Coturnix japonica: one gene and its partner. The protein of the gene in region 2 purifies or fractionates together with the protein of the main gene of each other region. This does not show direct contact. Links are inferred from orthologs where the notes say so. Each region holds a gene or a part of one and is shown on either strand. Other genes may lie near its edges.

The links.
Region 1: the proteins of RHEB (region 2) and RPTOR purify together in Homo sapiens (affinity purification with western blotting, with the first as the bait; 3 studies listed by BioGRID). This does not show direct contact. The link is inferred for Coturnix japonica from reciprocal best matches to the Homo sapiens genes RHEB and RPTOR.

What each region holds. Positions count from the first base shown.
Region 1 is NC_029533.1:4,972,539-4,976,350, reverse strand, and holds part of RPTOR (regulatory-associated protein of mTOR), read right to left. Parts: intron 3,310-3,812; coding exon 3,244-3,309; intron 2,623-3,243; coding exon 2,431-2,622; intron 1,185-2,430; coding exon 1,044-1,184; intron 1-1,043. UniProt on the Homo sapiens protein: Component of the mechanistic target of rapamycin complex 1 (mTORC1), an evolutionarily conserved central nutrient sensor that stimulates anabolic reactions and macromolecule biosynthesis to promote cellular biomass generation and growth.
Region 2 is NC_029517.1:5,599,725-5,604,143, forward strand, and holds the start of RHEB (GTP-binding protein Rheb), read right to left. Parts: upstream 2,852-4,419; 5' UTR 2,562-2,851; coding exon 2,510-2,561; intron 1-2,509. UniProt on the Homo sapiens protein: Small GTPase that acts as an allosteric activator of the canonical mTORC1 complex, an evolutionarily conserved central nutrient sensor that stimulates anabolic reactions and macromolecule biosynthesis to promote cellular biomass generation and growth.

The DNA of each region.
Region 1 (3,812 bases), on a different chromosome or scaffold from region 2:
ACAACCTGTCCTACATTTGCTCTGAGCAGAAGGAAACAGTATTTGACATGTGGACCTTGAGGACGTGGCTCAGCTCTCCCCCGAGGAGCCCTGCCCTGACCTTCATGTCAGCAGCCAACATGAGGACCATGCCACGTACCCACAAAGGACAGTCTGGCCAATCCATAGCCATTTCATTCCCATAGGTGCAGCTTAGGAACACTGAATTACAAAGGTGGGGAGGGAAGAGGTGGTGAAGTTCAGACCCATAGATAGGTATTATTTGCTGGGCGTGTGGAAATAGCCAAAAGGAAAGGTGGAGAACCAGCATTTCTCACTGTTCTCTGTTCAGAGGACGAAACTCCAAAATAGAGATTTATGAATCTCAGAGCATACAGTGGGACATGCAGTTCTCTCTTGAATTAAATTGATAAATGTTGGAACAAGACAGCAAAAATTAATCCTCACAATGCTGGTCGGTGACAACCTGTCAGGGTATTGATGTTCCAGTTAAGCAGACACGAGCGTTAGGACGTCTAAGTGCATCCCATCAAGAACAATCCAAAACATCAAAAACTGTTTAATGTTCTATTGTTGTACAGTGGTGCATCAGAAAATAACACTCCAGAATGTGAAGAATTCCTTTGAACCCATTTGTCATCCTTCCTTACGGTTTCCAAAAGCAACAAGATCTGTTTGTGAGCTCTCATGTTCTCTCACAGCCCTCTTACTTCCCTCTCCTCTTCCTCCTCTTGGACCACTGCACACTCCATGTTTCCTGCAACAGATTGCTATTTCACTGAGGTTGTGTAATGTGAAATGTTTCAATCAGAACAGGAACCAACAGAAGTGTGTTAACAGACAAATCCTTTAACGACCTGAAAAAGACTTCACCGTCACCACTCTCCTTCCTTACCTCCATCACTGCATTCTCTTTAATTTAAAAACAACAACAAAAATAAGAATCAGTGAAAAGTCTATTAAGTAACACACTCTGGTTCAGCACAGTGCAGAGCTTGGCAGAACAGCTCCACCAAACCACTGCAGAGCTGCCCTGTCCCTACCTTCCGAACCATGGGGCTCCCATCATTGATGAGCTGGGCCAGCATCATGGCCACGTTGTGGTCGATGGTGGTGGAGTGGTCGGTCCGTTCAGCTGAGTTGCCCACGAATGTTCCCAGTGCAAAGACGGCAGCACAGCGAACCTGGGAGAGGGAAACATTCCTCATTATCTTCCCCTTCGCTCTGGCCTCAAGTTTGCCATTGGGAGCTCTTATCCCCACAAATGGTGCCTCTGGAAACCCAGGCTACTGTGTCAAGTAAATAGCGAGGGCTGAATGGAAGCCCACAGAGACTAAGAACCAAACCAGGTTCATCAAAGTGCTGAGTTATAAGTATTCACAGATGAAGGAGTGCATTTAATTTCCCAGAATACTCAGTGACCTTCCCATGGGTGATTTTTCCAGTTGATACTGCCTAGAATATTAATTAATAGGAATAAGGCATAGAGGGAGTTACGGTTGGCATGTGAATCTCTTTAACAAGAGCACTGAACTCCAGTCTTCAGTTAAAGGCATGCAGAAAGGTAACAGAAGTTGGGAAAAAGAAAGAGACAGCAGCTGAAATCAGGGTAAATTTTGCCAGATCACACAAAGAACGGAGGGATCAGATGGCTGGGTAACCTTACAGTCTGCCTTGGCAGAGAGTGAAAACAGTGGGGATACAGCATAATCAGCAAGTGCAGGATGTGCTTCACAGAGCAGAAATGGTCACCCTGGCTCCTCAAACAGAGGTGCAGATGTGTCATAAAGACAGGTCGACCCGACCGCTGCACAAATACGGATTACAGAACGTGGGAAAGATTAGGCAAGAGAAAGGAGGTAGGAGATACAGGAGAGAAAGACTGGTGTAAAAGGGGAGCTAATCTTTAATGACTGCAAGTCAGCAGTGGCGTTTATCTCCAGGCTTACTTCCACACACCACGTAATCCCAGCAGGGTCTGACTGGCTCTGTCAATCACAGCCATGCTCTGCACAAGAATCTCTGCTCTCTTGAAGATTTGGTCATGAGAGTAAAATGCATTCAGTTAAAGATGTACTTTCACATGTGCCAGGAGAAGAACAGTTTCCATACTCGGATAGAAAGATGAGAGGGTTTTTTGAAACACAGTGAATTTTGGGACCGCTTTTGTTAAAAAGCCTCTGATACGCAGGCAAGTGAAAAAGGGGGTGCCTCCTTGTGCCAGTCCTAAGATTCTGTGACTTGGGCTGTATGAACAGCCCCTCAGTTGCTTCTCTCACAGGGCTTGTGTGATTTGAACCATCTCGAAGGAAGAGCAATAAGATACAGCCATAAAGCCCTTGAAGACACTGTTTTTGTAAGTATTTCTGCAGCCTGCTTACACAATTCTGACAGTCCGGCTGGTGTTTGTTTAAACAGTTGGATTCTTACCTCTGGGATTGGATCAGAGAGGAGGCTGTAGAGCTTTTCATGAGCGCTGTCTCTCACACCGCACCACCTGGCTGAGTCAAAGTTCTGCCAAATACGCCCCAAACAAATGGCCACCCACTGACGCAGGAGAGGATGTGGATCGTTCAACTGTTCCAGGCAAATAGCAATCAGGTTTCCTTGAAGGCAGGCTTCCTAAAACACAAATCAATGCCATTTATTTTGGTTGACAGCTTCCCACCTCATCATCAAAAAAGAAAAAAACAGACCAGAAACCAGGTTATATACTGATCCTGTTGCAAAACACCATTTGGAAGCAGCACAAGGGCAAAGTATACTGCATGCTATAGTAGCAAGTTGAATAGGTCAGCATTAGAAATACTTCCTGTAACGCATAAAATCTGTTTTTCTCCTCATTAGAGATACTCCTTTGCACCTGTCAGAGCCTTAAGGTTTATGGCTCCTTCCATACATCCTTCTCAAGAACTGTATCACAGCCATCAAATTCTCACTTGACAGAACTAGGCACTATTTCTCTATCAGCAGCACGTCAGTGCAGTGCCTGGAGGGCAGCTGGTGTGTCCTTAACCTCCTCTTCCAGTTGGCACATCCGGATCGTGTGCTTGTTACACCTCCAGGCCAATTCTTCTTTTACTCCACCAAAACAAGAACCAAAACCTATCGTGAAGCTATCTTCTATTTCGATTCTCCAGTTCAGGGTTGTGCACTAATGCGAGCCAAGGCACGTTCATCAAAGTAAAGGCACAATGCAGAGAAGAGAGAGACAACAGAAGGAGAGAGGATGCTGGGACTCACCTGTCCTGTGTTGTAGTTGTTAACAATTACAGCCAGAATAAAAGCAGTCATCGTCCTGTGTTCAGCCTTAAAACAACACACAACTAATTGTTATCTACAAAACGGGTCATAGAACAACAACCTTCCATGTTTTCTGAAACACGAGCTTATCCTGAATATGGTTTCTATCGCATCAAAAGAGCAAGAGGGGAGAGAAAGCCAGGATTTTCCTGTCATCTTGTCATACTCCTCAGACACTCCATAATCTTGTATCATCAGACTGCCAATACGATCCTCCCAACCAACCCCTGGGTATTGTTCTGGAGGAGGCATACAAATACTCATTACAGGAAACCACATAATAAAAAAAAAAACTTTTGCAGAGAGAATTATGAAACTTACAGCAAAATGAGCCTGCCTCTGCACCCAGCCCCCAGAAGCCCACAGCTCCTATCTTTCTGAGTAATTCATGCTTAAATATCTTTAGGCAACTTTGCAGCTCCCTGTTTGGAGGCTGCCTGCATCACGCAGCCCAGCAGCAGCACCAGCTCCCCAGGCAGTGGCTGCAGTGGGTCCCAGAGCTGGAGGTG
Region 2 (4,419 bases):
GCACAGAGCTGGAAACATTTCACGGTGTAACAGAGCAGCCTCCCAGACTGCAGGGTCAAAGCTAACGTTAAGGTTAATGGCAGTTCCCTATTTATAAAAGGAAGCTCAGAAGCCTTCAGCAGCCCTTCAGATCTTGGAATTAATTATCCCCCACCCCGACAAAAACTAGCTCTGTTCAAATGTAACATCCCTTATTTCATCTGGGATGGGATCCTGTCTTTTACCCAGGGTTCAAGTGGAATTCATGCCATCGTGATATCAGACTTACCTATAAGTCTATCTGAAGCCAAACCATGCTGTTAATTCTCCTGGACTTTGCAAGGCATCCTTGGGTTGACTTCATGTCATGCTCTATGTTTCTTGTTTATCTGACAGCCCTACATGACAGAACACCCAACAGCTCACGTCTATTGCTGGATCTTTTATGTAAATATTTGCCTAGAAACGTAAAGCTCCCATACTTAACTCTGTGGCTTAAACATGCAAGATTTATACCTAAGAACAAGCAAGGCAACAGAGTTGTCATGGTTAATGAAAGGCAAACTATTACTTCTCTTCTGTATGTCTACAACAAGCAGTTGTCCTAATGGAACAGACCATGTCCCACAGAGCCCCAAACCACATCAGTCTCATGAAGCTGCAGGTGAAGGAGCACAGTAGTAAACCCTAATGGGCAGGAGGCAACTTTCTGCTCACCTCCTTCTATACAAGCACCAAATCATCCTGGGTCACACCAGCAATGGCATTAATAATGGCTATGTGCAATGTGTGCTGTCAGGCTCAATGGATCATCTACCCCTGGACCATCCAATGTACTGAATTGACAGCGTTCCTCCTACCCACACACACTGCCCAGTGCTTGTTTGAGTCCGGACTCGGAGAAGAAAACATAAGGAGACAAGCTCCGAGGCTGACTGTGCCGTATTAGACACCCCATGTGAACCACCAACCTCCTGCAGGCTGCTCCCTTCCAGCACCATACAGACACAGCACTGTTTATCCAGCCTTGAAGCCAGGCTGCTGCTACACACACAGCATCTAAACAACTCATGTAACCTTTTTTAATCTTGGGAAAAGCAAAAGGCGTTGTTACGGATGCTGAGTGTGCGACCGCAGACACACCACTCACAGCACAAACCCTTCAGCAGCACAGCGGCACCTTCCTACAGCAGTTTATTTCCCAGCCACTCGTTATCCTTCCCATCGATCTACGCTTTTAAGTCAGATCGATGCCGAGCCGCACCGCTCCATTCGTGCCCCACGACGCTGAATCTGGTGGGGCTGTAGAGCAGCTCCCGGCTTGGATGGCGCCGGGAAGTTCTTTCCTTCAGTGTTGCCGTACGATCACAGAATCACAGAATGACCCGGGTTGGAAGGGACCTCAAGGATCATGTAGTTCCAACCCCCCTGCCTGGCAGGGCCACCAAACATACACCTTTACTAGATCAGGTTGCCCAGGGCCCCGTCCAACCTGGTCTTGAACACCTCCCAGGACGGGGCATCCACAACCTCCCTGGGCAGCCTGTTCCATGGCCTAACCACTCTCCTAGTGAAGAACTTCCCCCTAACATCCAACCTAAATCTTCCCTCTTTTAACTTAAAACCATTTCCCCGTGTCCTGCTATTGTCAGCCCTTTCCAAGAGTTTACTCCCCTCCTGGGTGTAAGTTCCCTTCAGGTATTGAAAGGCTGCAATGAGGTCACCCCGCAACCTTCTCTTCTCCAGGCTGAACAAACCCAACTCCCTCAGCCTGTCCTCATAGGGGAGGTGCTCCAGCCCCCTGATCATCTTCCTGTCCCTCCTCTGGACCCTTTCCAAAATCTCCCATGTCTTTTTTGTACTGAGGGCTCCACACCTGGACACAGTACAACAGATGGAGCCTCACAAGAGCCGAGTAGAGAGGGACGATCACCTCCCTATCCCTGCTGACCACCCCTCTCCTGATGGAGCCCAGGATCCCATTTGCTTTCCGGGCTGCCAGAGCGCACTGCTGGCTCATGTTGAGTCTCTCGTCCATCAGGACCCCCAGGTCCTTCTCTGCCGAGCTGCTCTCAAGGACAACTCCTCCCAGCCTGTACAGGTGCCTGGGGTTCTTCCTGCCCAACTGCAAAACAGTGTTGAACCTCATTAGGTTCAACATAACCCCCGAGCCCAGCTTTCCAGCCTGTCGAGGTCCCTCTGAATGTCACCCGTTCCCTCCACCGTATCGACCGCACCACTCAGTCACTCCCGATCCCGGCACCGCAGCGCTCCGTACGTTCATCCTACACGTCTACAGACAGAGGAAACGGGCACAAAGCTCCGTACACCCCGCTGTTCCCCCCCCCCGTCCCGGTGCCGTCCCCTGTCCAATTAAGGGCACAGTCTCACGTTGGCTCCCGGGCCCGCAGCGCTCTGCGGCGCCGCCATGGCGCCTCCCGGCCGCACTGCGCGGGGCCCGGCCCAGCCCTGCACCTGCCACCCACCCACCCACCCGTTCCCATTTCGTCTCCCCCCCCTTAACACTCACCTACGCTCCTGTAGCCCAGGATCGCGATCTTACGGGATTTGGACGGCGGCATCTTGTCCCCCGCCCGGCCACGAACCACATCAAGGGAGGAGGCGGACGAAGAAGAGGCGGAGGGCGGCGGGAGGCTGCGTGTGCGCCGTCAGCCTCATGCGGCGCTGGTTGTTGTTATGGGGGGGGGGGGGGGGGGGGGGGGGGGTTGGAGGGCGGCGGCGATCGATGGGCCGAGAGCGCGGAACCCGCGGCGGCAGCGCCCGTCCCCTCACGTAGCGGTGCGTCACGCGTCACAGGCCGCAGCGCAGCACGGACCGACCGACCGCCCCCACCGCCAACACCGCGCCGACTGCCGGCTGCACAAACCCGCTGCGTCATGCCGGCCCACCTCACGCCCCGCCGGGCGCTGATTGGGCAGTTGCTCGCGGTTAGAGGGCGGGGATTGGATGAGATCGGTTTTCAAAGAAAGGAGGCGGGGCTAAGGGGATGCGTGGGAGGGGATTGGTTGGATGGGGGTTAAAAGCCGCGCGTGCGCCGTGGTGCGCCTCCAGACGGCGGTTGGGTTGTGGGGTGTGAGGGGCTGAGCGGGGCGGGATCACCTCAGTGTGACTGTCCTCCACAGGAAGGAGTTAGTCCTAACCTCAACATGAACCTCTACTAGTGCCATGGGACCATCTTATAGGCTTCATGGAGATCACCCAGCTGCAATGCCCTGCCATGGTTCACAAATGGTACCTCAGCCCCCAGATCAGGCCGCCCAGAGACCCCATCCCACCTGCCCTATAACCCTGTGGGTTACGGGATCTCCTGCCCTACAACCCTGTGGGTTACGGGATCTCCTGCCCTATAACCCTGTGGATTACGGGATCTCCTGCCCTATAACCCTGTGAGTTACAGGATCTCCATGGCTAAGTAACCTGTATCATAGCACTTCTACTTGGGATAAGTCTTAGTGCTTTCCTGCCGTGCTGAGGTTGTGGCTTCCCAGCAGCAGCATTAGCAATAGGGCTTCCCCTTTGCCCCTCCCCAGTGCTAATCCAGCATCTTCATTCCTAGAGTGTTTTACCCTGTGAGCTACAAAGGAGTTCAGAGAACGCTGCAATGAGTGACTGACACCAGTACAACCAATCGTTGGTGAGTTATAATCGTTTTATTATAAACGACATCCCAACAGATGCGGTCAACGAATGCAATGGTCTGGGTTCCAAAACAAAGAGTGCCGGCACAAATAGAGCGTGTATATACACTGAGATCAGGAACAGATGTTGAGGCTGAGAAATGGGAAAGCATCGGCCTTTTGTTGCCTGTGTCTGCGATGAATTTCCTCTAGGAAACGTAACCCAGCAGTTCAATGTTTTTATGGCAATTCAGTGCATACGAACCCATGGACACAGCGCTACTCAAGTTCCAAATGCAAAACACATCTGGCTTGTACATTCAGTTCCTATAAAAGCAATTAGCACTTTAATTACCTGCTCGATCCTCTGGCCAACCAGCACCTACTGGAGGAGCTATTTGAACTGCACCCAATGTTAGCACTGGGTGTGCTCCCATATGTATGGCTGCCCACTGAGGTTAGAAAGTACACTCAGTTCCATCCCACACTTGTCCCTGGCCCCTCATGGATTCGACAAAGATCATCTTTCTCTAATGTCTGCTTAGAAATACTGACAAAAGCATCGTCTGCAGAACATTCTTGTTTTGCATAACGCACGTGATGTGGATCCAAGGGTACTATGAAGCTATTCAGAATGATATTTTCTCCTGTAGGTTACCCTTAGCAAACATTAAATGTGGGAGGTGTGAAGGTTCTGAAGCAAACTGGCTGCTCCTGAGAGCTGGGCACGGACAGCCCCTGTTGTTCAGCAGGATTAAGCACGCATGGTTTCACCTCTGCTTGGACCGAAACCGAATGACTC